Astyanax mexicanus: one gene and its partner. The protein of the gene in region 1 interacts with the protein of each later gene in a biochemical or structural test. Links are inferred from orthologs where the notes say so. Each region holds a gene or a part of one and is shown on either strand. Other genes may lie near its edges. The genes, in order: dapk3 and pawr.

The links.
Region 2: of the proteins of dapk3 (region 1) and pawr, one has a biochemical effect on the other in vitro, tested with the Homo sapiens proteins (2 studies listed by BioGRID). The link is inferred for Astyanax mexicanus from reciprocal best matches to the Homo sapiens genes DAPK3 and PAWR.

The regions. Positions count from the first base shown.
Region 1 is NC_064415.1:44,691,381-44,708,374, reverse strand, and holds the start of dapk3 (death-associated protein kinase 3), read left to right. Parts: upstream 1-7,743; 5' UTR 7,744-7,821; intron 7,822-9,336; 5' UTR 9,337-9,380; coding exon 9,381-9,442; intron 9,443-13,956; coding exon 13,957-14,317; intron 14,318-14,874; coding exon 14,875-15,004; intron 15,005-15,166; coding exon 15,167-15,215; intron 15,216-15,300; coding exon 15,301-15,327; intron 15,328-15,555; coding exon 15,556-15,708; intron 15,709-16,031; coding exon 16,032-16,077; intron 16,078-16,243; coding exon 16,244-16,464; intron 16,465-16,733; coding exon 16,734-16,994. Other genes in the region: sppl2 (signal peptide peptidase-like 2), read right to left, coding at 767-863, 1,842-1,984, 2,187-2,326, 2,724-2,813, 3,687-3,869, 5,179-5,295, 5,859-5,906. UniProt on the Homo sapiens protein: Serine/threonine kinase which is involved in the regulation of apoptosis, autophagy, transcription, translation and actin cytoskeleton reorganization. Involved in the regulation of smooth muscle contraction.
Region 2 is NC_064409.1:25,117,632-25,134,768, forward strand, and holds the start of pawr (PRKC apoptosis WT1 regulator protein), read left to right. Parts: upstream 1-7,909; 5' UTR 7,910-8,061; intron 8,062-11,301; 5' UTR 11,302-11,473; coding exon 11,474-11,959; intron 11,960-17,137. UniProt on the Homo sapiens protein: Pro-apoptotic protein capable of selectively inducing apoptosis in cancer cells, sensitizing the cells to diverse apoptotic stimuli and causing regression of tumors in animal models.

The DNA of each region.
Region 1 (16,994 bases):
AGTGACCCACTGTGCATGCGCACACTCACACACCTCTCTGTATTTGCTGACTTTAACACATTGTTCTGTTCCCACCCACATATTAACATATTTAAACTGCAGTGATGCAGAATCACAAACACAAATCACATGGAGGCAATGCGTTAAGATTTCAGAACCCTCACCAGGGGGATTATGAAAATAATTCTAAGGTCTCAAAATACTTATAGCTCATACAGGAGAGATGTTTTTTGGGTTTATGGTAAAACCAGCTGCAGTATTTGCATGCTGTTCTGTCTTTTACTAAATATGATACATCATACATTATTCATCATCAGAGTAAAAACTAATTGACATCCATCACAAGATGATTATTTAATATATATTTACCAATTAGTATGGTGTTAACTGCATGTGCATATTACACAATGTTCATTCATGCTCTTGTAAACATTGAGATTTCTAACACTGTAAAGCCCAAGTCAGGTGTGCACATTAAACCGGCTCAGGGTGAACAAAAGCCAAAGTGGAAATTTGCATAAAGTTGATCTAGTAGTTTCCCTATAATAGAGTCATATATGAACAAGGGAGTCAATACATTAGTGGGAAACATAGTATATCCCAGGTTTAGTGTGTGAAAAGTGCACAATACTGTCTATAAACAGGGACTAAAACACATAATATGCTTAAATCAGCACCTTTGGTCTGTACTTGTGAATTGATTTGTTGGTGGATTAGTGCTGTAGAGACATGGCTAAAATCCTGAACAGGCATTTCTGTCTCTCACCTGCATTTCCCAAATGGGATTCTGCGGACAAAAGGCCAGAGGCAGCTGTACAGACCCACAGAAGACGCCAGGCAGAAGATCACGATGATCATATACACTGCAAACACAACACACACACACACACACATTAGCAAGAACATGAACAACACAAAGGAGAAGGCCTGAGTAATTCAATTATTAATTAAAACAACATATATACCACCAAACACCACAATATTCTAAATCATTCAATAAAGAGTTATCAGCATCTGTGAGACAATCAGCATGTTGATTATAAGGCTATATATTACAGATCTGTTCTCCGCTATGTGCTCATGCGGTTACTACTACAATTTGCTGCAACATACAGTTAATTCAATACTTTGAGAGATATCAATAGAAAAGTACAGAAGTCAAAAGTAAAATCTTTTTTCCTGCAGTTGTTGTTGTTGTTATTGTTGCTGCTCTTCTTCTTCTTCTTATTATTATTATTACAAACAAAATATGCCGAAATAACCCAATACTTTCAACAACATGTACCTATTGGCACCATGCCTAATGCTAGGTGTGGGTATAAAGCCCCCCCTTTATTGAGCTGTAGAGCAGTGCAACTGTGTTTTGTTGTTCATACATCAATAGCTGGATGATACTGTAATAAGGTGAGGATGAGTTAGGGATTAGTTGAAAAGTTGTGGATGAGTTTTGGAAAGTTGGGGATGAGGATGGAGCTCATCTATCACAACCAATAAAGGAAATCATGCTAAATACAATTATTTTCTTCATTTTTTCAGAAATTTATTACCCTGAATTTTAAGAAAATCAATCAATTATCATTTAAAATTACCGTTTGTCAGTAACAGACAGCAACAAGCTATGCATTTTATCTACAGTAAACAAACTGATGAGGAAAATGGTTGTTTCACAGGGGTCACAGGTTTGACATGACAGATTAATGCAAGGGCCTTATGTATGTTACGCACTGATCAGATCCTAGTTAACATGATCTAATCAGATGCCATTTCAGTAGATAACGGCCCCGGATATCAGAGGTCTGCTGGTGTGTGTGTGTGTGTGTGGGGGGGGGGGGGGTGTTTACCCAAGTGATCGTAGAAAAGATACAGGAGCACCAGCATGGAGCAGCACATCACCACAAATACAGCAATCATGATAGGGGTAACGTCCACAGTTTCCTCATCCTGCTTCTCCGTACTGTCATCTCGCTTATGTTTCATGTAGCGTCTGTAAAACACACACAGAAACACTCAGGAACCTCACATATGAAACACACACACACCTTAAGGAATACTCATCTTCTACCACTTTAGTTACTTAATTTCTCAAACAGACATGATCTATACTGTAGTGGAGAAAGACCACAGCACAACCACGGGAGCTGGACATGCCTAATGTACAAACAAGGCTGTATATAAAGAGTACTTACTTCTTAATGTCCCTGCTGCCAGCCCAGTATCCTCCCACTGCCACTGTCCCTACTGCCATCAGGAAGATGATCACCATGTTGTAGTCCACCACTGGCTCATTGGGGGCATACATCGCGACCTGCCACTGCTCTCCAAAACTCTGTTAGGAACACATATGCCGTTATCTAGTGATGGTTCAAAAATGTGTTAGCACCTAAAGCAGCATTATGTGAAAATAGGTAATGTCTGCTTGTGGGCTCCCCCTACAGTTGGGAAGTGAAGCACTTTGAACCTCCACTTATGGACAAGCTTTACATATATATATACATTTTTTAGACAAGCTGAGAGATAAAGAATGGTCACTGACAGTGAAAAAAAGCATGTGGACTGAGGCACTAAAACCATTTCCACAAAGGACTTTTATGCAGGTTATGAAGAGTTATGCAGTTAGGATTTTTTCTCTTTTTTTAGTCTGTGTACTATCAACACAGATTTGATGCTATATAAAGCTGCTACATAATGTTGCTATAAACCTTTTTCACAAAAAGAAAGGTCACCTTGCTTATGTCCAGCATGTCAGCATAGCTCAGCAAAGCCACTGGGATATCAATCTCCTCATACTGCGTCTTGTTTCCAAAGGGCGGGATCTAAGAAAAAAAAAAAAAAAAAGTTACTCATAATCTTCAGTTTAAACGTCTGAACAGTGAAGAAGGTCTAGTAGAAAACTCACAATAATAGAGCAGTCAATTCAGTAACACCCACTTAACCATATCATAAAGGCCTTTACAGAAATCACAAAGTGTATAGTGTACATGCTCAGGGGCCAACACACAGTAAAACAAGACGACTGCTCCCAAACCTTGAACAGCCACCATATGTTCCTGTCAGTAGTTAAAACACACAGTCAGCCCTCATGGAGTGCACAAGTGTCTCAAATAGTCATCAAAATACTGAGTAGGTGTACTATATTTTGTACCAATTTCAAGAAGTGGCCCCGAAGCTTATCTCGGCCAAAGTAAACACAGCACATATGGATTTTACCCATAGTTACATATGAATCATTGGAAAGAATTAGCCAAAAGATCATAAAAAATGCTAAATATTGGTTATGATAAAATACAGATTATTATTTAGTAGAAAATAACACCATATACTATAGGGAAAATGTTCTTTCTAGAGTTTCAGTGGTTTTACTGTTGAGATCTTGTGAGCTAGTTTGAAGAACAAAGAATCATTAAACACTGTTTTTCATTCTAATATCAGAGATTTACTGAGTAGATAAGGTATTTTTCATAAAAAAAAAAAAAAAAAAAGAAAACTGGTGGGTGTATTTATTAGTTAATTAAACTGTAAATAGTCCCAGTAGAGAGAAAGGTAAATATTATTTTATTCAACACTGTTCAAGCAACACCTTGAAAAGCTAAATAACAGTTCTATATGAAATGCCTATTTACATTAATTCTTTGTAAACCGTTACCCTCACACCCATCTGCTACCCTCACACTCCCCAGAGTCCTCACCAGCCGGTCCTTGCTGACGATCAGCAGGCCTTTGGCTCCGTTAATCTGCGCCAGACGCACTTTCTCATAGAAGGTACAATTCCCACGCAGCACCATGGGGATCCGATTTGGGAAGCCGCCTTCCGGCACATCAGAGGCAGAACACAGCACTGAAGCTGTCAAGTCATACGCCAGCAGACGAGACTGAACAAACACACAGAAAATCAGTATATATAATATACATACACACCATACACTGATTAAGATCATAAATACAGGTACAGGAAATTAAGACCTGCCCTCAGATATAGTCAATTAGCCAAGACATGTCTGGCATCTTGGTCTTTCATGATAATTATGATAATTACATTTTTTACAATATATGAACATGACCTTAATGATTTATGTTGATCTCAATGTTGCCCATTGGGGCTTCTTAGTGCGACGAGCCCATAAACATTACTGATGTCCTTTGTTTTTACCACATTTTTCACACTATAAGGCACACTTCCAAACATCAGTGTGCATTATGAACAAATTCTACCAGTCAGGTGATGATTTACTAGCTGATGATTTACTAGCGCTAAACCCTGCTAACAGTGGCTAGCGCTGCTGCTAACACTCTGTTGACAATATTGGAAATCTAAGCTTACTGTGAATAAACTGAAGCACTTTACTCGCCCAAATTAACAGTTTTCATGAGAGCAATGTGTGTACATTACTGTGTAACACCCTTATTCCTTACTATTGTCATTTAAAATGTGCCTTGTTATCTGGTGTGCCTTATGTATAAAAATACACCAGAAAATATACAAGGAAATAGACATTCATTAATAGAGTGGCTTATAATACAGTATATCTCTGGAAAAAATAAAGAGAGCACCTCAGTTTCTGAATCAGATTCTCTTATTTATAGGTATATTATTGAGTAAAACGAACATTGTTTTTTTTATATATAAACTTCGGACAACATTTAATATTGCCAATTAGATCATCCATCTTCCTCTTGATTATATTCCAGATGTGTTCAATTTGGTAAAGTTAAAGAAACTTCTCATTTTTAAGTTGTTTTTTATTATTTTCCAGAACTGTATATATACAATTTTTTTCCAATTTTCTCCCCAATTTGTAAGGCTACCCACTTAGTACCCACCGGAGTCAGCTGGACCCCTCAGAGACCCTTGGCACGTTGTTATGCCTTAATATTCTTACTCATTAAAAGCTTACTGCTCTTTGAAAGGGTGTAACTGCATTCAAATACTAGTGTAAGATTATTATATGAGGGCATAAATGGTCTTAAAATGAAAATGTTATTGTTAAGCACAATCTTTTTGGGACATCATATCTGCAGGACTACTGGCATCTGCTGTATGATACTTTAATGTACAACAGGAGATGCTAAGCTAACACTGCTATTCCACTTAGCCACTCCTGCAATTAGCTGGCAATTAGTTTATGTTTGTGTTTACAGCAAGGTAAGCATGTGTATTTGTAGAGAAGTTGAATAACTTACTGCTTTATTAAGGTCCTGAGGTAGCCGAGCCCACTGAGAGTTGAAGAAGATGCAGTAATCCTTCCCTTTACTCTTTCCCCACTCACTAAAATGAGCCATGCCATATTCTCCCACAGCCTGCAGACGAGAACACAGCTAGCTGAACAAATTTACTTCACAATTAATAACACTGAATAAGTCAGTGGATCCTTAACAATTTATAACAGATACTAAAATGTAAACTTGCTCAATAATTTACAGTGGATAATACATAATCAGTAAGTAAACTAGTTAACTAAATAATTCACTAAACTTACAAACGGTAAAGTTCTTTGTTTCTGTGCGAATTTTTCATTCCACCTTAAATAGTGCAGCAGTCAGAGGATTATTTAAGGTGGAAAGGAAAACTGGAAAACCCTAACTTCAACTCCGTGTTAAGAGTATTTTATCAGACAGTCTTAATTCTCTTTTCGCCCTTCATAATATAATTAACTAAACATTATATATAAAGCTGTAAATCAGGTTTAAAGGTTTCGGGGCCTGAAGGCTTCATCCTGTCTCCTAGCGTTAGCATGTTAACAGGATGAGCTAACCTTCATCTAAACTAAAGCGAATCTGTGTTTATTTGTCCTTATCTACATATTTCCTTCAGCGTAACTGACCAGTAGACTGAACGTGTCTGTGCTGTGTGGTGTCAGTACCTGTTTAATGAACAGAGCTGTCCAGATGAGGCTCCGCATTAATCTCATACTGTCTTACTGTTGTTCTTCCTCCATCTGCACTGAGGCACGGCCACAGATCCCGATCCCGAGCTAACCGCGGCGTCTTATTGGTCCGATCCCTGCCCAGCGCCAGCACCTACGGGAGTGGCTCACGCAGCTGTCAGTCTGAAACGGGGCTCTTTAACACAGTGATATCTCAGTTTAATGATTGATTTACAGTAAATAAACAGATGTTAGGGGTTTAGAAACATAAATTTGCATAGTGCACTTTTATAAAAGGATAATTTATTGATAACTAAGAGTTAAAGCTCAATCTTACACTGTAAACTGAAGTTTGTGCCAAATGTTTGTGTCCTGTCCTCAGTTTTTCATGCACACCAGCCCCTCTAACCTGACTTTAAAAATATACAGAAATGTGATATGTTGAAAGTGGGTGTCTTTTATTCTAATAGGAATTATATTCAATGTAAATATATTCCACCGCAATTACTATTACGACTACAAATAATTATAATAACACGTAGATTATAGATAATGTTGCATTTGTGTACTGAAAACAGTATTAAATAATTTATTTGTAGTTTTAATTTCCTCTGTACAAAATGCAGCAACTGAGAATAGGCCTATCTAGTCATAATAGACTAAAAAATAGAACCATACTACCATATTCCTTGAATCAAATAAGGACATAAATATAATGAGAAACAGAAGAGTAAAAATGCAATTTTACAATATTTAATAAATATGGATGACAGGGATAAAACCAATAAAATCATAGCAGAAAGAAGATTGCGATTCATGAGGCCTTCTTATTTCCAGGAATTCTATTACTTTTTCTCTTAAATTTCTTGATTTTTTTCTTAGGCCATTAAGAAGAAATAAACATTGGGAAAATTGTAAAAAAAAAAAATCTGCTGTTAAGTATATATTATTTACCCAACAAAAGTATAATATTTGCAATATGCCAGACATGGGTCTGTACATGAAGAACCTTTTTGATTGACAGTAAACACAGCCTTGATAAAAATGCTACCTGCTAACAAATACAGCTTAAGACCAGCTGGTCACCCAAAAAAAAAAAAACACATCATGCTGGTCAAGAGCTGTTTAACGAGCTAGCCTACCAGCATAGGGTATGTTTTTTTTTGGATGACCAAAAAATTGGTCTTAAGCTGAATTTGTTACAATATCTACAATATCAAATGCAAATAACATAATATACACGTAATAATATGCTTAATATAGTAATCATTTTGCTAATGCTTGGGGGATATACACAGTTACATAAATATCTTAAAATACACACGTTGTAACAGTTTTAATAACTTTTGTATTAAAGGGTCCATGAGTTTAACACAATGTTTCATCCTTGTTTCAAAAGCAACAAAAGGGTCTTGCCTGAGAATTTACATTTATTCATACAAAACCTGGCCATTAAAAGTCTAAAATGTGTGATATATGCATTGGTACATTTATCTCTGTCATTTACCAAAAGACCAAATAATACATACATAAATAAACAATACTCTAGTAGTTACCTAAATAAACAATATTTTATATCAGTCTTATGGATAATGTTGTGCTTGTGAACTATTTCTTACTCTCTTTTTCTCTATGTAAAGCACTTTGAGCTGCACTGAGGTGCTACATAAATAATGTTTATTATTATTATATTATTAAAAAAGGTGCTTATTTTTTATCCTCTTTTATACATATTGACAATTTCAGGTAAATAACAAGATATAACATTGTGTTTTAAAGTGGTGTTTAAATGTTAGAAAATGTCTAATTATCTGGGTAGAGTTTGTGTATAGGTTTATACGACGAAGCTTTTTTATTGCAGCACGACTCCTGACGTCACCGCGGCGTTAATACCCGAGCGCGGCCGCTGGGCGGCGCTGGAGCGGAAACACCGCCCGCGGGGAATGCAGCTGTCCGGTCTGTGAGTACAGTATTTACATTTTATTCACATGTAAAGCTTTAAACAGATTAAATAACCCTGATGAAGACATGTATTAAGTTTATACAGTTATATGTTAAGTACAGGTTAGTGTGGAGAGTAAAATAAAGGATTCCCGGGTTTGTTTAAAGGCTCAGGAGGCTCTGAGATGTGGAGTTAACCTAGGTTAGCTAAGAAGCTAAAGTCAGCGTTAAAAGGCAGCGGGTTTTAGTGAATATTTAACTGAAGTTAAACCGCATTATCTCTCTACCTCTCTGTGTGTCTGTAACTGTGTATGAGAGCCGACCAGTGTTAGGGTTTAGTTTAACATGATTTGTGTAGTTAAGAAGTTCTGCTTCTTTTCAAATTATCCGTTCCACCTTAAATAGTGCAGCAGTTCTATGTTAACTGCAGGACCGTTTAAGGTGGAACTGACAATTCTTTTTAAACTCCAAAATAAACCTCGTTTAACAGAAAAAGTCTTTTACCAATTCACATCTGACCTTAATTAGAATATTAGTGAAATTGGAGACAATAAACATGTTATGAAATATAAATATCAGTCATTTTTTAAGCGATAAAGCTCACGTTTGTCTGTTCTGGATGAAGATGATGATGATGATGATGTAGCAGGATTGGTATTTGCACTCATTAAACACATTACTGATCCCCAAGACTCATGTCAGGGTCTGTTAAGCTCATTTTGGCTGAGTATAACTTATTTATTTCATACTTTAAGCTATTATTGTCCATATCTGGACTATTAAAAGGAATATTCCTTATTTAGAAGAAAGAAACATTTGAAAGTTAAATGTTTGTCAAACTATTAAAGGTGGGCAATAGGGGAGTATATATTTTTATTATAGTGATAAATGCAGATGAAGAGTTCATAAAACACTGATTATTAATAATTTCTCTTAATTTTGTAGGTTTTGCCAAACTATGTCCATAAGAAAACAGTGATTTAAATGGCTTGAGAAAACACCTTTAATTTTTTTTTTATTAAAATTAAGTTTTAGTTGTAGTTTCAAAGTGTTGACATTTACAGGTTTTTATATGGTTTTTATTTTTTTTTTTTTAAGAATGTTTTTAAAAAGTAATGGAAATTAGAAAAAAAATGTTTGATTATTGTTTTGGTTTAAAAAAAATAATTTAATGTTTAATTAATGTAAATCCGTCACATCTATTTGCATTCAACTATATCTGTAAATTCACACAATGAGAACAAAATGATGATTTAATGCTGTCTGGCTTTATTCAGACATATAATGCAGAATACGCAGAAATATTATTCAGCTAGTAAAACGTGACCTTTCAAAATGTTTAAAATTCATTTTAGGTGAGAAATATATTTGAGATTTTTTGGCCAAGTCAGTACTGATATATTACAGATTGTATGTTTATTTAGTGTACAGCAGTTTAGACACTCATAATGAGCCTATGATGAGCCTATGATGAACCTGTTTAGCCTACAGAAAGAGACATATTCAGGATGTCCTGTTATCTCCTCTGTTACAGGATTTGTTGACCCAAGTGTGGACTGTGGGTAAGGTCAGCGAGTCATGGCTGGCTTCAGGCAGGAGGATGTGGAGAAGTTCTATGAGATGGGGGAGGAGCTAGGCAGGTAAGACGCTACGTCGTTAGCTCTGATGAGTAAGTCATGACGGCTGTGAATTTGGTTAGATTAGTCAACATAGGCTGGGTTTTAATGGTGGGGTTGTGAAGTAGTGCCTGTAAGACAGAGTGATGTACATCAGTGACTTACAGTGATCTGCTAAAAGTGACACAGAGGTAATTATTGCTAGGTTTGTTAAAAAGAGTTTAAAAAAGTCTAAATAATATTAATTATTACATAATTAATCAAAGTTATGTACAAGTAATGTTTTTCCTTTTACCTTTTTGAAATCATGAACAGGATTATTGGCTATGTTCACAAAACCAGGCTAAAGTGACTCAAATTAGATTTTTTTGCTCAATGTGGCTCAGATTTTCTTTTTAAGGCTGTGTGCACGTGCCAAATGCGATTTTTTTATTTTTTTTTATTCAGATCTGAGCCACTTCTTTATGTGTTGCTAAATCGAACTTGCTTAACCTGAACCATGGACATGCTACATAAATGTGAACGGTCAAATTCATGTGTCTTTTTTTTCTTTTACGCATGCGCTACGTGTTTCTCTCTGGTACCCACACATCTCTTGGTGCAGCTATAGCTGCAAAAACAGCAAAAGCAAACCGCCTGGCCCTTTTTTCACCTCCTCGACCTGAGCATGAACTTCAGACCAGCTGTTTACTCTCCACTCCAGCAAAAGATGCTCCACATATGAACTGCTAAAGCATCATTTCCCTTTTTTTAAAACTACGAGTCGTTTATACATGTATTAGTGTGCGCGTGTGAGGCATTTCAGGGACAGATTCGTTCACATTACACACAGATACAGCTCACTTATATTTGTGTATGTGAACCGTCAAGACAGCCACATCTGATTTGAGCAATGGGCTCTAAATGTGGATATTTATTTTTTGTTTTTGCTATTGATAGTTCAGTGTTAGAAATTGCTATTATTTATTTTTTTGCTATTGGTAGTTCAGTGTTAGAAAACATTGATGTTCCATTGTAATTTAAAGAAGCTTACGATAAACTGCAACACCATAAGCAAAACAATATGTTCTGTTTGTTTGTTTGTGTTTTTATTTTAGAAAACCTTTCATAATTGGTAAATACCAACACATTAAAAATTCTGGGTAAAAGAAAAGTATATTATCTTTAAATGTAATTGTATTTATTACTACTACTTACTATTTAAGTAAATGCTGTGTTTTTAAGTATTGATACAGTATTGTTATACTACAATATATCAGTGTTTTCTTACACCCCTAGTAAGTATAGGACTGTTTCTTCAGTTGTGTGTTAGCAATGATCTTTGGATTGAAGTTTTTATATTAAACCAGATTCAGACTAATGCGGAAGAATGTCATACTGTTACGCTTTCTTTTGTTTGCTCTAAGTCAGCATAAACACTGTCGCGCTGCAGTGAAGCACAGTGTGTTTTAGAGCACTCTGTACTAACACACACACTGATGCGGCTGCGATAAAGATACTCTGCTTATTTTACCTTTACGTAAGTGCCTTCCTCTCACACTAGTGAGGAATTTTAATTCACACAAAGAATGAGTCATAAACACACACACACACAGTTTGCTTTCCTATAAAAGGCAGTGGAGCTTTAATGCAGGATGACATCATCTCTGTCTGTCTTTTTCTCAGCGTTTGCCAGAAAACAGCTGTGCTGCACACCAGATTACAGATTACTCAGACTGCAGGAACGTCTATCGTAGACTCTATAACAGTTCTCAGCCTCACTTAGTTTATATCCACAATTTATGACTTGCAGCATCATCAGGAGCGCTAACCAGCTGAGAAACTTTCTATGATCTCACACTTTTTTTAAAGGAGCAGTGCAGTGAAAAATCTGAGATTGAATTCAACCAATTCAACCAAGACATGTTGGGTATATAATGTGCTTCTTTAGTTTATATAGGAGAGGCTAACATAGCTTACCCCTGCAAATGCAAAAACACAACTTGTCTAGTACCTGTAAATGTATTGCCAAATGCCAATACAATAGATTTACATTTACATTTAAGGTATTTAGCAGACGCCCTTCTACAATAGCAACTTACAAAAGTGCTTTGTTTTTTACTTTGGGATGGGAATCTCTAGGCACCTTACAATTTGATTACGATTAAGAGGTCTGCAGTGTGATTTATAAAACGATTATTGGGCATCTTGATGCATCTTTTCTTTTATACAGCATTTTTTCCCCCTTGTTGCTTGACTGCTTGGTACTTTTAGGTACAGAATCTCTAACTATCCATAACAAATCCAGCTGTTTAATAGGCTCCCTGACACTGTTTTTGTTTATTTAAAAAATCCTAGTTATTTAAATTGATCAATAATTAATAAAAAAGAAATCCAGGATTAATGTTGTTGTGGTAATGGTAAGCTTCAGCCACAATATTAAAACCAGCTACAAGGAAAGCAGAAACAGAAGGTGATGTATAATGTTATAACTGACCAGTGTAATGTATATGCAGAGCTGGTTTTAATGTTGTGGTTGATCTGTGTAGTATTTTGCAAGGCAAATAATAGATAATTGCACATTTTAATAGTCTTTGTAAACTAATGTACTTTAGCTAGCTATATAAGTAAAATGACAAGACAGAGACCAAAAAAAGATTTAAAGGAGATTGAGATGTCTGAGTGGAAGTAAACAACTGTGGTCGTTGTGAACAGAGCTTAAAATTCTTCTGGTTGGAGTTGCATTGCACTCGGGAGGATATAATCCCATATCTGACCAGGACACGCAGATAGTATCAAAGCACTTTGGGCAAAAACACTAACAGTTTTCACTCCGGGTTGCAACACTTCTACTAGTTCCGCCTTTTACATTGTGTCATCTTTGCATTATGTTCCACCATCTTGGTCCCAGGAGAGAGAACAGTCAGGATGTCCGGATTCTTTTGGAACTTAAAGAATGGTGAGTCAAGATGAGCCGCACTGGAAGCTTGAAGATTTCTTGGTGCCAATCTGGCTTTGACGCATCAAATATAAAGGAGCTTGTCTGCTTTTGATTTTGTAGGCCAGCGTAAGGTTTTGGATCAGCAGCAGAAAGACAGTGGAGGGAGCGCAGGAAAGGAGTCACATAACTGAACTTCGGCAGAGGACTCTAGAGTAGATAAACCTTAACCTGCTGGCACCATCCCAATGCCAGGCCTTGGCTAGAGGGGTATAAATCCCCCCAGCATTGAGCTGTGTAGCAGTGGGACTGTGGTCTCTGGAATGATTGTGGTCCATCCAATACGCTTTTAGATGAGATGGTGATGATGTGGTTGGATGCTAATCATCCAGCATTCCTAACTAATGGTTTGAGCTCCACTCATCTTTACAGAATTGTTGTAATTCAGCCACATTGGAGGGTATTCGAGCATGAACTTTTTAAAGTCATGTCATAGCTTCTCAGTCGGATTCAGGTCAGGACTTTGACTAGGCCAGTCTTTATTTTGTTTTTTTCAGCCAATCAGAGGTGGACTTGCTGGTGTGTTTTGGATCATTGTCCTGCTGCAAAACCCAAGTTTGTTTCAGCTTGAGGTTTCGAACAGATGGTCGGACATTCTCCTTCAGGATCTTTTGGTAGACAGCAGAATTCATAGTTCAATTTATCACAGCAAGTCTTCCAGGCCCTGACACAGCAAAACAGCCCCAGACCATCACACTACCACCACCATGTTTTACTGTTGGTTGTTCTTTTTCTGGAATGCAGTGTTTCTTTTATGAGACGAGCTTTAATGTTCAGCTCAGCAGTGGTTTTAGTATAGGAACTTTGCCATGTAGGCCATTTTTGCCCAGTCTTTTTCTGATGGTGGAGGCATGAACACTGACCTTATCTGAGGCAATTGAGTCCAGCAGTTCTTTGGATGTTGTTGTGGGGTCTTTTGTGACCTCTTGGATGAGTCGTCGCTGCGCTCTTGCGGTAATTTTGGGCGGCCGGTCACTCCTTGGAAAGTTCACCACTGTTCCATGTCTTCTCCATTTGTGGACAATGTCTCTCACTGTGGTTCGCTGGATTCCCAAAGGTTTGGAAATGGCTTTATAACCCTTTCCAGACTGATAGATCTCAATTATCTTCTTTCTCAATTGTTCCTGAATTTCTTTGGATCTCGGCATGATGTGTAGCTTTTGGTGGACTTCACTTTGTCAGGCAGGTCCTATTTAAATGATGTCTTGATTAAGAAACGGGTGTGGTAATAATCAGGCCTGGGTGTGGCTAGAGACAGTGTACTCAGGTGTCAGAAACCACAGTGATGGTATGTTTTAACAAGGGGGCAATCACTTTTTCACACAGGGCCATGTAGGTTTGGATTTTTTTCTCCCTTAATAATAACCACCTTCATTTAAAAACAGCATTTTGTGTTTACCTGTGTTGTCTTTGACTAATATTTAAATTGGTTTGATGTTCCAAAACATTTGTGTGTGTCTGTGTGTGTCTGTGTGTGTCTGTGTGTGTCTGTGTGTGTCTGTGTGTGTCTGTGTGTGTCTGTGTGTGTCTGTGTGTGTCTGTGTGTGTGTTTCCTCCCCAGTGGTCAGTTCGCCATTGTCCGTAAGTGTCGTGAGAAAAGCACGGGTGCAGAGTATGCCGCCAAGTTTATCAAGAAACGCCGCCTGTCGTCCAGCCGACGTGGCGTGAGCCGGGAGGAGATCGAGCGAGAGGTGAACATCCTGAGGGAGATCCAGCACAGTAACATCATTACTCTGCACGACATCTTTGAGAACAAGACTGACGTCATCCTCATTCTGGAACTGGTGTCCGGTGGGGAGCTCTTCGACTTCCTGGCTGAGAAGGAGTCCCTGACTGAGGAGGAGGCCACACAGTTTCTCAAGCAGATCCTGGATGGAGTTCACTATCTGCACTCCAAACACATTGCCCACTTTGATCTCAAGGTAAGTAATGCACATTATTAATTAATGTACAAAATGTATAAGGTTTAGGTAGTGGACTTCAGATTATACGTGGACTGAATTTTCCTTTTCTTGTTTTTTTAGAATGTTGTCAGTTCACCAGTTGCCTTTCCAGGTGTTTGAAGCCAATTCTGCACCTTACTAGAATCAGTATATAGAACAGATTTCCCTTAGATTCCTTTAGTTCTGTTTATAAATAAGGGTTAATCTACAGTTACAGTAGATAGAGGAATCACGAGCACAATCAGTTGTGCTCGTACTGTTCTGTGAGGTGATCTATTCTGATTTATCCGGCTGAACTACTTAAAAAGTTCTTTGACTTATCAATGATGCTTCAGTTGATGGGGACCGAGACCACCTCAATTTGTCTGACAAAATGTTGGTCCTTTGTTCTTTGTTGATCTGCTTTTTCTTGGCTCAGACCAAACTAAAAAGTCCAAAGGTCTTTTCCAGAATGTCACTGTCATTTTATCTTATTGGAGGACCTTTTGTATATTGTCTGCATGGGTCTTGACCTGTTTCCTGATTTTGTGTTGCAGCCAGAGAACATCATGCTGCTGGATAAGAACGTTCCCAACCCCAGGATCAAGTTGATAGATTTTGGCATTGCTCACCAGATAAAAGCAGGAAATGAATTTAAAAACATCTTTGGGACTCCAGAGTTTGTTGGTAGGAGATTTTTAAAAAACTTCTGCAGTACAGTGTTAGGCTGTGTATAATGGCAAACGATCTGTAGTTTCCATTTTAGGTTTTCTATAAATATTACAAAATAATCAAATAATAAATTTTGGTGATGTGATGTTTATTATTTCTGCTCTCCTTTACAAACAGCTCCAGAGATTGTGAATTATGAACCCCTGGGTCTGGAAGCAGACATGTGGTTAGTATAATAGTGTTTTTTTGTCCAAATAATAATTTCAAGCAATTAATAATTTGAAAACTGGTTAATTTCTCTTCTTCTGCAGGAGCATTGGGGTTATTACATACATCCTGTAAGTATTAAAACCAGAGATCACTCTTACTGCAGGCTTCCTTCTCTCTGTTAATATTGTTATCTGGCTAGCTTTGTATAGTCAGTCTGTATATAGTTGTCAGTCTATCCTTCTGTATGTCTGTTTTTATTTCTACCCATATATCTGTTTTTCTTATTGTATGTGTGTTTTTCTGTGTATAACATTTCGTCAGTCAATCTATGTGTAATCAGTGATTGTGTTCTGCAGGTTGAGTGGAGCATCTCCTTTTCTTGGGGAGACTAAACAGGAAACTCTGACTAACATCTCTGCAGTTAACTATGACTTTGATGAGGAATATTTCAGCAACACCAGTGAACTGGCCAAAGACTTCATCCGCAGGCTTTTGGTCAAAGATCCCAAGTGAGCTCTTTTTCTATTAATAATGACTGTGGCAGCACTGTGTCCTCTCAGCCTGCACAGTGGCACCTTTTTTGGGCATATTAGTTTTTAGAAACAGTGATTAAATTTTTAAAATCAGTATTTGCTCTCTGTGGTGCTCAGTTTTGTCAGAATAGTGTTTTAATCTCTGAGGAAAATGTACTTAATTTTTGTTTAATGTACAGTAATGAAGAAAAAAACATTTAATATTGAACATATTAATTAATATTGATTTCAGTCATTGTTACAATAATAATTTGTGTGTTTGTGTTGGTTATTTTTTGTGGTGTTTTTTTCTGTTTTAGAAAGCGAATGACTATTGAGGACAGTCTGGAGCATCCCTGGATTAAGGTAAATACTCTCTTGCCCCTCAATAATAGTTACTTTAGCCCTATTTCTCTCTCTCTTACTCTCTCTTTCTCTTTAATCTCTCTCTTATATTGTGTGTCTCCTTTAGTTAGTTTTAAATGTTGATCAATTAAAATATATTATGTCCCCTGTTATTAATGGTGTGCAGGTGATTAAGCGACGCAATGTGCGTCAGGAGGACAGTGGGCGGCGGCCAGAGCGTAGGAGGCTGAAGACCACGCGACTGAAGGAGTACACCATAAAATCTCACTCCAGCATGCCCCCCAACAACACGTATGTCAACTTTGAGCGCTTCTCACATGTGCTGGAGGAGATCGGGTCGGCTGAGGAGGGCCTGCGGAGGCTGCAGCAGAGCCAGCGCTCCTGCAGGTGAGGGTGGACCAAAAGGAAAAGATTTCATTCAACCATATCATTAAACGTGCCAAGCAAAAATAAAAAAAACTGTGATTTATTTTCAGGCTACCAGTCTGATGTGTACAACTGTATTGCTGCATCTTGCTGGTCTAGGGACAAAATAACTAGGCTTCTGAGTTTATAAATTTGGCTTGTGTTTCCTGTAGTGCTCTAGATTTTCTATCTGCCTGACATGGTTAGACAATAACAATAATACATGTCACTTCCTCCTCCTCTCCCTTTAGGGATGATGTGGCTGCACTGCGCTCCATATATGAGGAGAAGGAGGGTTGGTACCGCGAGGAGAGCGAGAGCGTGGCAACCGAGCTGAGCCGGGTCCGAGCCGAGCTGCAGCGGGCTCAGGCACAGCGCAGGCAGAGCCAGGAGGAGGCCCGGGCTGCCACGCTGGCTGCTAATGCACTGAAGCGCCGATTTGGCCGTTTGGAGACCCGTTACGAGACGCTGGCCCAGCAGGTGGCAGCAGAGGTGCGCTGGGTAGAGGAGCT
Region 2 (17,137 bases), on another chromosome or scaffold:
GAAGTGCTTTACTCAAATCAACATTCCTCTCTTCCTGTTCCTGTAATAGAGCAGCAGCAGCAGGATATTACACATCTGCCTCTAAACCCTTCATCTTACCATCTCACAATCTCAGTGTGTGTTTCAGGTGCTGTATGTTAGCATGTTAGTGCACATATGTTATAATAACAGGCCTTAAAGTACAAACGAGTCCCCTTTTCCCAGTCCAACCCCTCAGCAGGGTGAGGAGGGCCATACAAACCCCAGAGCAAATAATTAACACCAAACATATCCTTCCGCTTGAGGATGCCTCAATAGGGTTTATCAATGCAGACATACTCTGGCCAGTCCATCTCCTTCACCTTTACAGATTTGTATGGGGGTGGTGAGGGGAGCTTGATAAACTAGTAGTTAGATGGGAACTGGGAATACTGGCCTTCACAGCTGAGCAGATGGCATCATGCAGCTGGCACTGTCACGGTGAAGTGCTGCAGGAAAGAAAGAATGGAGAAGGCCCAGGCCTTCATGCCAATGGTGTGTGTGTCTGTATGTACGTGTGTGTGTTTGATGAAGATGTTAAAATGCTATTTATCCAAATAAAGGTTTGTTTACTCTGATGTTTACAAGAACAGGGTGGTAATCCCACCACCTGCTATCTATAAAACTGAACAAATAGGTTGTACTTAAGCTGCTACACACACAAACACACACACAGGGTGCATTAAACAAGAGTAAATAAGCCAAAGAGTCAATTGGAAGAGCTACTATACATGCTAAACCGCTTTAAGGCTAAAGCTTTAGCATTGCCTTAGAAACACTCACTGGGTGGGTCCTAGTTGTGCCTGAATAACTAATGCTAATAACCAGGGTGTGAGTGTGCAGAGTGTAGTTTAGATAAAAGTGTGAAAGTTTAGTATACTCAAATATCCATGATACATACTCAGACTATGTCCTAATTGTGTCCTACACACTAACACAGGTTAGTTTACTAAATATTGTGTTCTAAATATTCTTTTTACTATTAGTAAGTGAAGAAGCACTGCTGTGCCAGCATATGTTTCTGTAGGTTCTTTTGCTGTTGGTGCCAGTGCACACATACAGTACAAGTCAAAAGTAAGGACACACCATAAATTAAGTGGGTTTTTTTTTTTTTTTTTTTTTTTTTAGATAAATACGAAATTCACAAACCAGAATATGTTTTATATTTTTTATATTCTATATTCTTCAAAGTAGTAATTCTTGCTTAGATGACAGCTTTGCACATCTTGGTATTTTCTCAGTCACATCTACAGTGGTATGAAAAAGTTTGCTCACCCCTGATAATTTTTTTAATGATTTTCCTTAATAAACCATTGGTTATTTGGATCAGGAATTTCAGTAAATATACCATACCATACCAGAGTTTCAGTAAATATACCATACCATATACCATCAGATGAACACAGTGATATTTGAGAAGTGAAATGAAGTTTATAGGATTTACAGAAAGTATGCAATAATTCTTTAAACAAAATTAGCCAGGCGCATAAATTTGGGCACACTTGTTAATTAACTACATTAGTCTCATAGCTCCAGTGCTAATTGTTTGGTGGGGTATAAGCTTTTATTATTTGTTAGTTAACTACATTAGCCTCATAGCTCCAGTGCTAATTGTTTGGTGGGGTAAAAGCTTTTATTAATTGTTAGTTAGCTACATTAGCCTCGTAGCTCCAGTGCTAATTGTTTGGTGGGCTATAAGCTTTTATCATTTCTTAGTTAGCTACATTAGCCTAATAGCTTCAGTGCTAATTGTTTGGTGGGGTATACACTTTTATTACTTGTTAGTTAACTACATTAGCCTTATAGCTCCAGTGCTAATTGTTTGGTGGGGTATACACTTTTATTACTTGTTAGTTAACTACATTAGCCTTATAGCTCCAGTGCTAATTGTTTGGTGGGGTATACACTTTTATTACTTGTTAGTTAACTACATTAGCCTCGTAGCTCCAGTGCTAATTGTTTGGTGGGCTATAAGCTTTTATAATTTCTTAGTTAGCTACATTAGCCTAATAGCTTCAGTGCTAATTGTTTGGTGGAGTATAAGCTTGTATTTCAGAGCTTACCGGTGGGATATACATTTCTACTACTTGTTAGCATCTTTAGCCTTGTAGCTAAAGTATAGCAGGTGGTGTGTTGTTATTGAGTGGAGTTAGAACAGCTGGTGGGACTGTAGTGAACAGCTTTATTCTGTTGGATACTGCAGTAATTCATTAGCGGACACTGTTCAGGCGCTGAGTGGTGAGAGAACACTCCAGGTTCTTTTTGTCTTCATCTGGTAGGCTGCTATTATTCTCGTTCTGTACACACACTCACACACACACTCACTCACTCTTGAGTCTGTGGTCCAGATGTGCTGCAGCTGGCGCTGGTATGGATTACTGGGCTGAACTGGAGGTATAAACGATATGAAAGCTGAGCCGCTGATGTCAAACAGGATGTCTGCTGATTTATAGCTGTGCTTCATGTATGTAGACACATGTACAGGAGTACAGTATTGGGGCACCTCATATTGATTGATTCTTCTAGACCTGTCTACCAATTTTCCTAGCAACCTAGTAAGTGTGTTTGATGGCCAATGTGTGCGTAGATGTGTGCATTCCCTCTCGCACTGTTTAAATTTGCGATAAAATATGCATTTTTTTAATATTGGGCCGATAATTGTCTGTTCTGCGATGTAGTGTAAAATAAATACTTTTGTACACAGCAGTCTTTCTCAATACTTAATGCTGTAATGTAGCTAACCTAAATCACGTGGTCTAGCTATGAGCATACTGGCCAGTGTTTAACCTCTCTCACACAGAATAACACCTCACAACTTATACAGGTGTGTGCAGCTGTCCCCTGAGGTAACACTTTGTGATTGATTTACTGTAAATACTGCTGTCAGTGTCACTGAAACTCTATGTGACATCTCAGTTCAGTGTTCAGTGCTGTTAATAATTGGTCTCAGATGATGTGCAGAGTTGTAGAGTTGCCCTTTTGCCCTGAGTATGTGATTAATAATAAACTAGCTGAGGTGTGCAAATTGGATAATCTGTGAATAATACGTTTAACAACAACAAAAAAATAACATGTACCCAGTTTTATGCCTCTCAAGCCTTATTCAGAAGGGATTCGTTTCTCAGGGGGTCCTGGGGTAATTTTCTCTTTTATGAGGGGTCTTTTTATTGCCGTCCGGAATGTACATGTGTGTGTTTTTCTCAGACGTACACTGAGAAAGTTACAGGCTGAAAACCCCTTTTTTCGTTTCCACGGAGATCCATGTAAACACATCAGCAAGTGAAAATGGAGGAGCTACTGAACACAGACTGTACAGTGGGCAAGACTGTAACTAGACATGGATATACTTTAGAGTGGTCAGAGGTGAAATAAGTTTTGATAGAGTCATGATGCCCCTCCCATCCAGGAGGGGAAAAAAACACAGCCTGCCCACAGTAAAAACTGATTGACTCACAGACTCTTTGCAGAGAACAGGCCAATCAGAACCCTCTCTGTTTTGCATGCGGTTCATAAATATGCACACAAGGGGAGCTCCTTTCTCCCTTTCCCTCTCTTTCACTCATGCGATTATGGAAAAAAGTCTGTGTCGCGCTGTGTGCGCGTTTGTGTTCACACTTGGGCCACTAGTTCTAGATCTAGTTCTCGAGATTTTTTCTGACTTGCGGGCATCGGGAAGCCATTATTGATATGCTCCCGCAACTTTCAGGAAACTTGGGAAGTCTGGTGTGTACTTGCTGTTTGGCCATAGGTTTGTGCATCGTTTGCATTGTAAATGTAACGGTTCACATACTTCCCTGTGTGCAACATGTGTTAGTGGAGGCTTCCACTAGAGGGCAGCTCAGGCATTAGATGATTGATGGACAAAACACCCCACTGGCTCCACCTCGACTTTATTTCTGCTGCATTTTCTGCGAAATGAGGACATATCTGACACATATATTATCTGTTGCAATGCAACTCAAGTCTGATCAACCAGATTAGAACTCATGCAACTTTTTGATCAAGCATATAAAAAATAAATTTCTGTAGTAGATAGGAAAATGGAGGACAACAGTGAGGGAGGGGTTCAGTGGTAGGATTGTGAGGTACTAGACCTCATAAATATCTGTACGGGTGTCTCTTGTAATTTGGCATTGCCGCAGCATAAAAGGAAACTAAAAAGCTTTAAAAAAAAAAGGAGGCAAACCATAGCTTCTTAGATTCTGGCTAGAAGGAAACTGAAACTTCACATGAAGCACTGTTATGTAGCATCTGCACATTACACAGCGCAGACCAGTGTAAGCTATAGGTCAAATTAAAAAGAAATTGTGTACCCATACAAGTTACATTTACTAGCATTTTATTTGACACAACTAATATAAATATAATTGCATTTTACATATTTTTTGTCTTAAGAAGAACAAGTGCGTTTAATTGCAGATAATCAGAATATTGTTGTGATTAATCTGATTTTTATTGATCGACACCCCAGTACAGACTAAAATAAGGTGATTTTGGCCACTATATGACCTGCTGTGTGAATGAAACCTTAGAGGCTCAAATACACTAAATGTCCAAATGTTTGTTGTGGACACACCTTCTCTTTCTAGTGAATCCATTCTAATACGTTTTTTAAGTAATGTTTATTTGTGCTCATTGCTAACACAGATGCAGATCCAAAGCTTTTCTTGACCCTTTAGAGAAGTACTTCAATAGAATAGGTCTATTCTAGAGTCAAATGTTTTTAAATTCCAGATGTATAAAACATCTTTTAAAAATAATGTGTATTTTTTTAAGTGAATTGGCTACTCTGAGAAAGCCAACGCTGACATACAAACGACTTTTAAAGTGTGTAGAAAACTAACTGATTATTTGAAACTGAATTATTTTTTTAGAAAGGTATGAATCTATTAATTCAGCTTCAGATTCTGTTTCAGGATCCTCTCCAGAACTGTGTTTATAAGGTAAATGGTGATTGTGAGGAGTGAGGGCGGTGTGAGAAAGGGGAAAACCTGTTGGGCAGCTTTACCCGTCGGCTGCTGTCTCCAGGGTGATCCAGCAGGGCAGTGGGTTTAGTGCCCGGCGAGGGCGGGACTACACACTTATCTGCTCCTTTAGAAAGCCGATTGTTGGAATGCTAAGTGGGCTGCAGCTGAAAGGCGAGCCGGGCCGGGCTGGACTGAAAGCCCAGGCTCTGGAGAGCTGTTCTCCTCAGCCTTTCTGAAACCGGGCAGAAAAATGCTAAACATGCAGAATCATGACCTCACTCTTTAGAACACAGGCTATTTATAGAGCACACTCTTTACAACAACCCCTATACTGCTTTATGTGTTAGCCCTTACAAAGAGAATGCTAACAACCCTAAAATTTCATTTTTACACCTTCACCTTCAGTCTACAGTTTCTTACAGTTTCTTACATTTGATTGCAAAGAGTATAAACCCAAAATATTTCATATTTTATTTGCCCAACTTCATTTAATTAATTAGTATTAATATACTTCACATTGATTTCTGCATTTTAGCACCAAAACTCCGACTAATGCCTTTTATAATTTTACTGTGCAGAAAGAAGTCGAAGCCTTATCTTCATCATGTCCAGAAGCACCGTCCACTTCTCTGATGAGGAATATTGGATGAACATCTTTTAAACAGGCTATTGGCTGTTCAATGGGTTCATATGTCTTTGTAAATCTACCCCAAGGAACAAACGGCCACACTGACACTCTCATGGTCTCTTCAGGCATTTCTGGGCAGGCCAAGCCCTTAAAGAACCAGTCTGATAAAGCGTGTGAGGCGGGGCCAGAGTGGAAGAGCCGTTTCCAGCAGGTTAACACTCGTTAGGCCTGCTCTTTCATGTGCTGAAGATGCCTGAGGCCAGGACAACACTCACTGGTAATGAAAATTGCAGCATTATTATAGACTATGAAAACAGCTTGCATTCAGCTAACGCTGCTAGCACTGATTACCCAATCCAGCCCAAGCTTCAGTTGTCTTACCAGTGTACACTTTCCTGCACCAATAACATCACACCATTTCACAGGCCTCCAGGAGCAGTGACAAGAACGTTCAACATTTATTAACACTGCAAAACACCTCACATTGCATCTCTTCACACAGATGCCATTACAACCCCCACACTGTAATATATGCAGTGCTGAAGGAAAGTAACTGGACAAAGTATTAATGTTGAATATGCTGCAAACCTGGCATGCAGTTCTGTCTCAGACAGATATGTAAATGATTACAGGTGAGGACTAATTAGATGCTGGATTTTACCACAAGAGGGCATAAAATGTTTTCCCTTGCTACCCTATAAGAAGGCTCCTAGCAGCTACCTTTGGGTAGTTACCTCTTGGTGAGAGTTTGTTGACTGCTAGACATGCCTCTACAACATGGTAAGCGCTTCAATCCTGCCATTGCTAAAGAGCGACACACTGCCCCAACTGCTGGTGTAATAATCTGGGGAGCATCACATGCAACAGTTAGTCACCCCTAGTAGTGAAACGAGGAACACTTACAGCTCAGCTAAATGCAGGACATCCTGCAGACACACATGTTGCTTACTCTCATGGCTTTTAAATTGCCCTTTTTCAGCAGGATAATGCTCACCCACACACAGCAAGGGTTTCCCAGAAATGTCTTCACAAAATATGCTACACCTTGTCCTGTCCGGACCTGAATTTATGAGAGCACCAATCTAGCATTTACGGGAGCAGCTGGCATGGCAGCTTTAGCAACCTACAAGTATAGGGCAGGATCTACTGGTCCAGCTGCATCATCTGTGGGTAAAGGTGCAGGATGTCATTCGGAACCTGTATACCTACATGTTCAACCGTATCATCATTACAATCACACAGATAAGTATTCTGCTAGCATAAAACATAGCAACACCTAAACAAACACCTAGCAACACCTATACCATAGCACACCTTAGCAACTGCCCAGCAACACCTTAGCAACACCTTACTATACACCTTACTAATACTTTAGCAACCAATTTTTATACCAAGGCAATATCTTACCAAACATCAAGCAAACACTTAGCAAAACCATTGCAACCACCAAAAAAAATATATCCATTCCAAATAAAAATATTGTCATTTAGAGCATTTATTGGCAGAAAATAAGAAATGGCTGCAATAACAAAAAAGATGCAGAGCTTTTAGACCTCAAATAATGCAAAGAAAACATGTTCATATTCATAAAAAAAAATCAATATTTGGTAAATTAACCCTGGTTTTTAATCACAGTTTTAATGCCTCTTGACATGTTTATCTACACCAGTCTTACACACTGCTTTTGGATTCAAGCAATTCAGCTTGGTTTTATGTCTTCAATGTGATCATCCATCTTCCTCTTGATTATAGTCCAGATGTCTGGTTAAATCATAGAAACTAATATTTTAAAAGTGGTCCTTTTTTTTTCAAGAGCTGTATGTTCAAATATTTGCTGACACCCTTCTAATGAACACTACATTTAGCTACTTACCACTCAATGCTAAAAGAGGTGTGCAAATGCACACAGCACAGGTTGCCTAGACCCTGTACATTGCTGCCAATAGAAAAGGACTGTCTGGAGCAAATAAACTAATATAACTAAAATATATATAATCAAATCCTCAGAGCAATGAGTCCAGAATCTAGTAGGAAGTATTCTCTGAACAGTAGAGACAGTATAAATCTATATATATATATATATTTATACAATATATAAAATGTACTCTAAAAAGGAGAATAAACTATTTTTTATTACTCTTGATTTTAGTAGAAACAGTGGATAAACAGCTGTCTCAATACTTTTGGCCATAAGATTTATGTCAAGATCATTTTTTCAACGTTAAGCACAAAACAGCCAATCGTAGCGGAGGAGGGCGTGGCCTGTCGGAGTACGGGTGTGGTGTAAAGCTTTGATCGAACTTTTCGTGTGCGCTCGTGGGTTTCCGTAAAGTGACCGGGAACGCGCGCGCGCTCGAGAGAGAGAGAGAGAGAGCGAGAGAGACTTACTTGGGGAAAGTGAGAGACCGGACTGGTTTACCGTGTGTGTGTCTGCGGGACGGAGAGCAGGTGAGTTACCGGGGCTTGTCTCGTGGTTTAGACGGGTTGGGGGCAGTGTTTCCCGTGGCAGACTGTGGGACGGAGCGCTGCAGTCTCTCCACCGATCCTGGAGCTCCACCTGGGCACAGCCTGCCCCACAGCCCCCGCACAGCGCCCTCAGCCCGGACTCAGCGAGAGGGGGGACCGCTGACTGTGGAGCTGTGTGTGTGTGTGTGTGTGTGTGTGTGTGTGTGTGTGTGTGTGTGTGTGTGTGTGTGTGTGTGTGTTTTGTAAACCTTTAGTGACAACCAACAGGTTAGTGAGAGAATGTGTGTGTGTTGGTAGGTAAGAGAATGTGAAGTTTTAAGACAGCAAGTATGTGTGTTTAGTGGCTGAAGATATGTTTTAACTTCTGTGAAAGAGAGAGATAGAGATAGATAGAGACAGAGTGTGTGTGTGTGTGTGTGTGTGTGTGTGTGTGTGTGTGTGTGTGTGTGTGTGTGATGTTTGTTTGAGTTTAATGCCAACAAGTGTGTGTGTTTGAGAGTTTTGGAATGTGGACCTGTGTTGTGTGTGTGTGTGTATGCGTGTGCCTGTGTGTGTGTTTTCATTTTAAGCATGCATGGCACAATAGAAAACATTTGGTATTAGTTGCTTAATTGAAATTTAAGCATCAGGTAATGCCTGGAATTTGAAAATTGACTAAAATTGATCCGATATTAGAGTATCAACTGATATTGGAATCTGAAATGATACAAGACTGGTATTTAAGCATCACCTGATACAAACAGATATTAGTATTTCAGAATCGAGAGACACAACATGATGTGATATATAAGTATTGTCTAATACCTGTCTGATATTAGACTGTATGAATACTGATCCAATATTGGTTCGCATTTATCCCATATTGGGACGTGATTATCGGTTGATTTTCAGTCTTTGAATTTATATTGGAATTTGGGTATCATCTGTTACTGATCCGCAAGTGGTTTTCTGATCTGATATTGAAATTAGCGTATAATTCAATTCTGGCCCAATATCTGTAATTAAGTTACATATCAGTCTGATATTGGAATTTTAGAATTAGTCTAGTTTAATATGGAGTGTTTGATAGCAGTTTTTTAAATCTACTTTTTACCTGCTTATTGCATATTGGCCAGTTTTGCGTGATCTGATATCTGATTCCAGAATTATCCTCTAATATCTGATCTGTGTCAGACTGGGTATCAGATCTGTGCCATCTACAGTGTTTACCGATAGTTAAGTGTGTATGTGTGTGTTTGCGTGTGTATTATATATACACTATATTGCCAAAAGTATCCACTCGATTGAATTGCGTTTGGTGCTGTAAGGCTTGGAGATGCTCAGCCATATACTGCTGCTCAGCTCTCTACTAAGGCCACATGAAGTTGAGAGGTCTGTACTGATTGGTTCCTTTGTGCACTGTGTTCTTCAGCATCCGCTGACCCCATTCTGTTCAATTTGTTTCCAGTTGCTTCTATTTTGTTATAATATCACAGTTGGCTGTGGAATATTTAGTAATGAAGAAATTTCACAATTGGACACAGGTGCTGCATTCTATCACATTACCACACTGGAATTAACTGAGCTCCTGAGAGAGACCGATTTTTTCACTAATGTTTGTAGAAGCAGTCTACATGCCTTTATACACCTGTGATTGTGATTGGAACCTGTGTTCAATGATTTGGATGGGTGAGAGTATACTTTTGGCATTATAGTGCATACAGTATTTATTTTGTTTTTGCTTTTTTGTCATACTGATATTTTTCTGATTATCAAACAAACATTATATCACACAAAGTTAACCTGAGTAAGTATAAAAAGCACTTTTAAAATAATAATGTCATTTATTAAAGGAAAACTGTCCAAACCAATCTAGCCCTGTGTGAAAAAGTGTTTGCTCCCTAAACCTAATTTCTTCTAATAACATGGTTGGGCCACCCTTGGCGGCAACAACTGCAATCAAGCTTTACCGATTACTGGCTATGAATCTTTCACTTCTCTTTTTGGTGTTTGGAATTTTGTTCAACTTTTGTTTGCAGAATTGTTTTATTTCAGCCACATTGAAGAATTTTCGAGCATAAACAGCCTGTTTAAGGTCATCCATAGCATCTCAATCAAGCTTTGACTAGGCCATTCCAAAACTGTAATTTAAGCAATTCAGAGGTGGACTTGTTAATTGTCCTGCTGCAGAACCCAAATACGCCTAAGCTTGAGGTCATGAAATGATGCCCAGACATCATCTTTTAGGATTTTCTGGTAAACAGCAGAATTCCAGGTTACATCTATTACAGCAAGTTGTCCAGGACCTGAAGCAGAAAAGCAACCCAGACCATCACACTAACACCACCATGTTTTACATTAAGCATGATGTTCATTTTCTGAAATTATGTGTTAGTTTTTACGCGAGATGTAACAGGACACACACCTTCCAAAAAGTTCCACGTCAGTCCAAATAATATTTACCCAAAATCCTGGGGATCATCAAAATGTTTTATATGAAATGGGCCATTTTGTTTTTTTGGTCAGCAATGTTTTTTGCCCTGGAACTCTCCCAGTTTCCTTATTATTAATGAATCATTAACACTGACCTTAACGGAGGCAAGTAAGACCTGCAGTTCTTTAACTGTTGTTCTGGGTTCTTTTGTAACCTCCTGGATGAGTTGTCCATGCCCTTTTTATAATAATTTTGGTCAGCTGGTCCCCCCTGGGAAGGTTCACCTGTGTTTTATGTTTTCTTAATTTTTGTGAATAATAGCTCTCACTGTGGTTCGCTGGAGTCCCAAAGCCTTAGAAATGATTGTGTAACCTTTTCCAGACTGATAGATGAACAATGACTTTGTTTTCTGATCTGTTTTTGAATTTCTTCAGATTGGGTCATAATATATTGCTTTTTGATATCTTTTGTTTGCTTCATTTTTTCAAACAGGTTCTATTTAAGTGATTTCATGATTGTATAGATCTGGCAGTAACCAGGCCTGGTTGTGGTTTGTAAAATTGAAGACAGCTTTCCAAAAAGTGTGATTAATCACAGTTATTTTATGGGGTGGAAGGGTTGACAAAAAATGCCAAAACAAAAGAAGTCTGAAAGGGGGCAAATACTTTTTCCCACCACTGTATGTGTGTTTACTGTGATCATGTGACCATCACAGTGTGTTTATCTCCAGTTGGCTGCTGTGTGTGTAATCAGTGACAGCAGACTGTGTGTTTGTGTGTATGTATGTGTGTGCATGTGTGTGTTTCCAGGCTTCCCTTTTCTGCTCCTGTTACTGTGTGGAGGAATGTGGCGTTCCTGATCCAGAGAGGAAGGTGAAGTCCGTCCTGCTTAATTTTTTTCGGAGCTGAAAACAAAGCAGAAGCGAAACCTTCTGAGCCAGGAAAAGCCAGCAAAAAGAACCGGTCCGAAAGAGGGACGAGCATGGCATCCGGCGGGTTCAAAGCCAATGCTGCCACGGATTTCTTGGAGGAGTGGAAGGCTAAGCGAGAGAAGATGAGGGCCAAGATGCTGGGGGACATTGCCGCGGCGACCGGGCAGTGCCCACCTTCCGGCCTGCAGGTCACGGGCAGCACCGGCACCAAACCCCCAGAACCGAGCAACAACGGAAACTCTGCGGCCGTGAACTGCGTGGCCTATCCGGTTGTTCGGTCTTCCTCCTCTTCTGCTCTGAGGAGGCCCGAGGATGATCCCAACTCCAGGCCAGCCGAGACGCCTATTAAAAAGGAGCCCAGCCCCCCTGCTGCCACCGCCTGCCCGGACAGCGATAAGGAGAGCCCCCCGCACGGGAAAGGCAAGGAGAAGAAAAGCTCTGGACCCAGTGCCAGAAAGGGAAAAGGTCAAATAGAGAAACGGAAGCTGCGGGAAAAGAGGAGGTCAACCGGGGTCGTCAGCATACCGTCAAATGAGGTAAGTTTAACCTGCTTTATGTTATTGGCCTGAAACTCTTGGCCTTGAGTGTGTCTGGTTTCAGTTATTTGTGTAAATGGCTTTGTAAAGTTCTGGGCCACACAAACGGAAGCTTACAAAGTCCTAAGCTAAAATAATGGGATTGTAGTTCTGGGCAACAGTAACAGAGATTTTGCTGGGTCTGGGCAATATTGTATGATTTATGAACTGCTGGGCTGCACACAGGGGGGTTTGGGAAGCTTTTGGACTAAGTTAAAGGAGTTTGTAAAGTTCTGGGCCACAGTAAGGGACATGGATGGAGAAATGTTAAATACCTACTTCAGAAATACAATGTCCCATTCCTCTGCACTCACTTTGCGATCCCTGTGGCCAAAGAATGTACAATTGTGCAGAACTTTGCAAAACATCTCTTACAGTGTGTGCCAGGAATACTCCATAGAAGGCTTATATTACTACCCACACTAGACAGTGCAGTGGGGGAAATAATAATGGTGACCGGCGGCGTCTGGCTAGAATTATCCATGTGAACAGCGACTGACAGAAATCACATCCACATTCAATGCAGGAGCCCTCACCAGCCTATCCCACAAATCAGTGCTGTGTTCTTTAACTTGCTTGGGACCTGTTTAAAGCCGTGCTTGTCTGTATGTAAATATAGAAATCCATTATTTTATTATTTTCATTGTTTTGAAAAATCTGTAAGATTCACAGTGTTGTGTTTCAGGCAGTGGTTTACTATTTTTTAAAGAAAGTATTAGGTGTGCTTTTCGTCCTTGCATTCCTTTGCTGTGCCAGGTCAGATTTAGCCCAGATCACCTCAATTCATCACAGTTGTGTAACCCAAGTGGAAAAATAAGGAGTGTTGCGTACAGTGCAATCTAGCTGTCAGACTGAGATCCAGCATTAAACCTCACATCATCGCTCAGACCCACAGGCTTCCTTTACATAATGCCTGCCAGAATTGGGCCTTAGTCTGCATCTTCCCTGTCTGCTCCCTTAAAATGCCTTCTAAATAATTACGAAATGAAAATAAAGACATCACGGTTATCCTGCCTTGTTTACAGACTTAAGGCATGAGTTTACAGGATCAGGGTTTTTATTACCTTTTAAGAGGTGAAGTTGTGCATTTGTGGCCTAAAGTGAGGCAAGAGCATCATTACTCTCTGAATGTAACACTATAGAATCTGTTCAGATGTGTCAGTGGCCATATAGGTATATTAATTTTGATCAGATAGACCTTCTTCTCAGAGCCAGAAATTTCATTATGAGACTTTCTTGCCTTTGGGGCAACTTTTACCCAAGGGTTTTATGTCTTGCTGCCTGTGGGGAAGCTTCTGTTGGCGGTTTGAGACACTTTAACTTTAAGGCCACAGGGAAACGTCTTATCTATGAAGAATAATAGGTGTTGATCCTCAGTTCACCCTAAGGGGCAATTTCTACCTAAGGCATTAATTTGTGGAGTTTGTTTTGTAAAAATAATTTTCAGCTTGATCGCACTCTGCAATACCTGCAAGGGCGCAATAACTCCAAAAATGTAATAAGACACTTAAAAACACCATCACCCTGTTGAAATTACCCACGATATCCAATCTGAAGAAACTAGCAAAGAGGATAAAACTAGCAAGAGCGCAGATCCAGACACAGGCCAGCAGCCCCTGCTACCTTAAAAGCCATAAAAAAGATTTTACAGTAAAAATAATGTTCAAAGCTCCGGATATGCTCTATTAGAGGCTAGTATGGTTGCATTTTTTGTAGAATTTGGAACCATTTTAGTCCCTTACACCTAAAGTCTATGGGGAAGTTGCCATGTGCCTGAAGGTAGGGTTTCCAGACCTTTACCCAATAAATGCAGCTTCTGTTGTAGAGCATGAGGCGCTTAAACCTTCACACTATGACCTCATTGAAGGCTCTTCATTGTGAGTCTCTCAGGCCTGTGCTGCAGTTGGCTGCCTGGTGTTCGTTTATGAGGTGATAAGGTCTTTCACCTTTAAGGTAGGTTCTACTGGACAATTTTACACTTAGATTATTGGGCTTAAAATGGCCAGCTTTTATTTGTCTGATGAAAGGGCTTTTAGGCCTTTATCCTTAAGACCTGTAGGCCAGTGTCTGCTGAATAATGAAGCGTTAAGACCTTCCACCTACCAGTTAGCTTCTATTGAAAACAGTTGGGGTTGCATTTTGGGTGCTAAGGACTTCTGCCTATGGGGATTTCTCTACTGGAGGCTATTAGGGTTGCATTTTTGGCAGCAATTTCTTTCTCTGAGACCTGAAGCCTGTTGGTAATTTTCTGTGGCATTTGTGCTTCCTTTAGTTTGAGAGTGATAGACTACAGGTGCTAAAACCTTCTGCTTTTTGAGATGTTTCTACTGGAGACAGTTTAGGTTTCATTTCTCCAAATTTGGAACTATTTCTGCCCCTAAGCTTAAATTGTAGGCAGTAGTTTGGGGCAGCTTCTATGTGCCTGAAGGAAGAGTTTCCGGGCCTGTCTTAAACGATAACAGCTTCTGTTGTAGGGCAAAGGTGCTAAAACCTTCACTGTTTGGGTCAGCAACTGTATGCCTCATTGAGGACTCTTGAATTGTGAGGCTCACAGACCTGCAGCCTATGGTGCAGTTGGCTGCTACAAGTTTGTGGTGCTAAGGCCCTCCTTCTTCAAGGTAGGTTCTACTGGGAATAAGGTTGTATGTTGGGTTACATTGCATTAGGTCTGCAAAATGTGGAACCATTCTGTCCCTAAGACCTGAACTGTACATGGTACTTTCTGCTCTGGATGTTTGTTGATAAAAAGCTAAGGGCTTCTGCCTAACGTAAAGCTTCTGGTAGAGGCTATTAGGGCTGCATTCTTGTAAAATATGGAACCATTTCTATCCAAAATACCTAATGTCCTTGAGACAGCTTCTGCTTAACTAGGCACCTCCTGCTTCCTATGGGGTAGCTTTTACTGGTGCTTTAGCATTTCTTTACAAATTAAGAACATTTCTTTCCCAAATGCCTGAGGCATGTGGGTCAGTTTCTGCAGAATATGGGCTAGCTTTCTTTGGAGTAAGTTTAGTTGGTGGCTATTAGCGTTGCATTTATGTGAAATATAGGAACATTTCTGTCCTTAAGGCCTGAAGCCTATGGGACTGTTGTGTTGAATGTTTTTCTTTTGAGGTGATATCCTTCGACCATCAAGGCAGCTTTTGTTAGAGACTGTTAGGGTTTCATTAGTACAAAAAATGTGACTATTTCTGTCACTAAGACCCAAATCTTAGGGGGCAGATTCTGTTGAATGTTTGTTCATGAGGTGCTTCCACCTTCCGCCAACAAAGGTAGATTTTGCTTGTGGCTTGGATTGTTGCAATTTAAAAAAAATCAGGACTGTCACTTAAGCATGAAGTCTATGGAACAGCTTAATTTACTGTATGAGGGTGCAGTACTACGGGGTAGTTTCTACTGGATGTTTATTTATGAGGTGCTAAGATCTTCCACCTTTGGTGTGGATTATTTTCAAGGCATTTATCCAGCCGTAAGAACTAAATCCTATAGGACAGTTTCTGTGGCATTTGGGATGCCTTCACTTTCTGCTGTGGCCACCCTCCCATTAGTAGCTGCTACTTAAGGCTATTAAGATTACATATCTGTAAGATTTGGGAGCAGTTTCTGCTGAACATCTGTTTATGAGGTGCTAAAGCCTTCCACTTCTGGTGTAGCTGCTACTGGGGTCAATCAGGGCTGCATTTTTTCGCAATTTGGGCCATTTCTGTCCCTCAGACCTGAAGCATATTGAGCAGTCTCTGCTGGAGTCTACCCAGCATCTTTCTCGCATGAGCACATCCTGTCATTACCTGCTCTCTGTGGCAGTCTTAAGTAGTTTGGGAACTGGGCACGGGCCAGGACCTAATGTTAGGGTTTCAGAGGGAGACTAAGCCGTGCCAAGCAAGCACATGCATGCCCTCGTAACTGCAGGAATGAAAATGGTGTGGCGGCTGGTTATCATGTTTCTGGAGTCTTTTGTTTGCTTTGGTTTTTCTCCATATTAGTGGGACTGAGACAATATGTCTGTACATGGAATGTGGGAGACTGAGAACATGGATTGGTTTGGGGTGACTTTGGATATGTTCGCTTACTGTTGGAGGAAATGTGCGTGTGGAGGTATTTGGACTGAACTGAGTGTATGTGTGTTTTCTTGCATGTTTCCTTGTCTTAAAGTCATGCCTCTGTGGTTCCTGTACTGTGTTCTAGTGTGTTTGCGGGTTTGTGTGTGTGTGTGTGTGTGTTTGTGTGTGTGCGCGCACGTGTGTGTTTTATAAGCTGCAGTGAGTTATTGGGGCCCTTGTGGACCCTCACCGAACGAGAGAGGAGCTTCTGTCAGCATGGCTGGCCTGACTCTCGCCTCCGTCAGCAGAATAGAAGAGAGATTATTATCAGTGCCAGCAGTTCAGTCAATTAACACACACACACACACACACACTGTCCTAGCAGAACACTAGCCGTTGCTTTGTGTTCCTGTGTGTATGCACTGGAGTGCAAATCCGACCCCGCAACAGTGTAAATCGTTTATAGTTTGTTATTCCTCTTGTAATCTCAACTTTTAAAGTGATCCAATTCGATTTGTTTCAGTTATTGTGGTTTGTTTCAGAATAACACTGAACACACAACTGTAAACCGTATACAAATAAAAAATGTGGCTGTATATGCATATATATAATCCTACATTAGTACTTAAATGTCAAAAGTCATGGGACTGCACTGTAAATTGATCATGAAGTGTTACCAAATGGGTTGGATGCACCACGTATTTGAAAGCTGAGACTAATTAGCTGAAAATTGCAAAAAAAAAAACTGCACTTTTAGGGTTTGTCAGAGATAGAGAAAGTGTTACAGGCAATATTCAACAATGATTTTAAGAACCCATATTTATTTTTGTTGCCTGTATAGAAGGAGGAATAGCAAATACTGAACATGCTTTATTTTTTCTTGATTTGTTTCATAAATTTAGCCAATTTAAAAGTTTTTGTATTAAGACTACAAAAGATTGGTGTTTTGGTAAACAAACAAATGCTAAGACTAACTTAGTTTAGCTAGCAATTCTATCCTAGTCCTGTACAGCTCATATCTGTGTGTGAAGAGGTAGTAAACTGAGAGTGAGTATGTAGCAGTGATGCTAAACACATTATTTAGTTTAATTTATGTGAA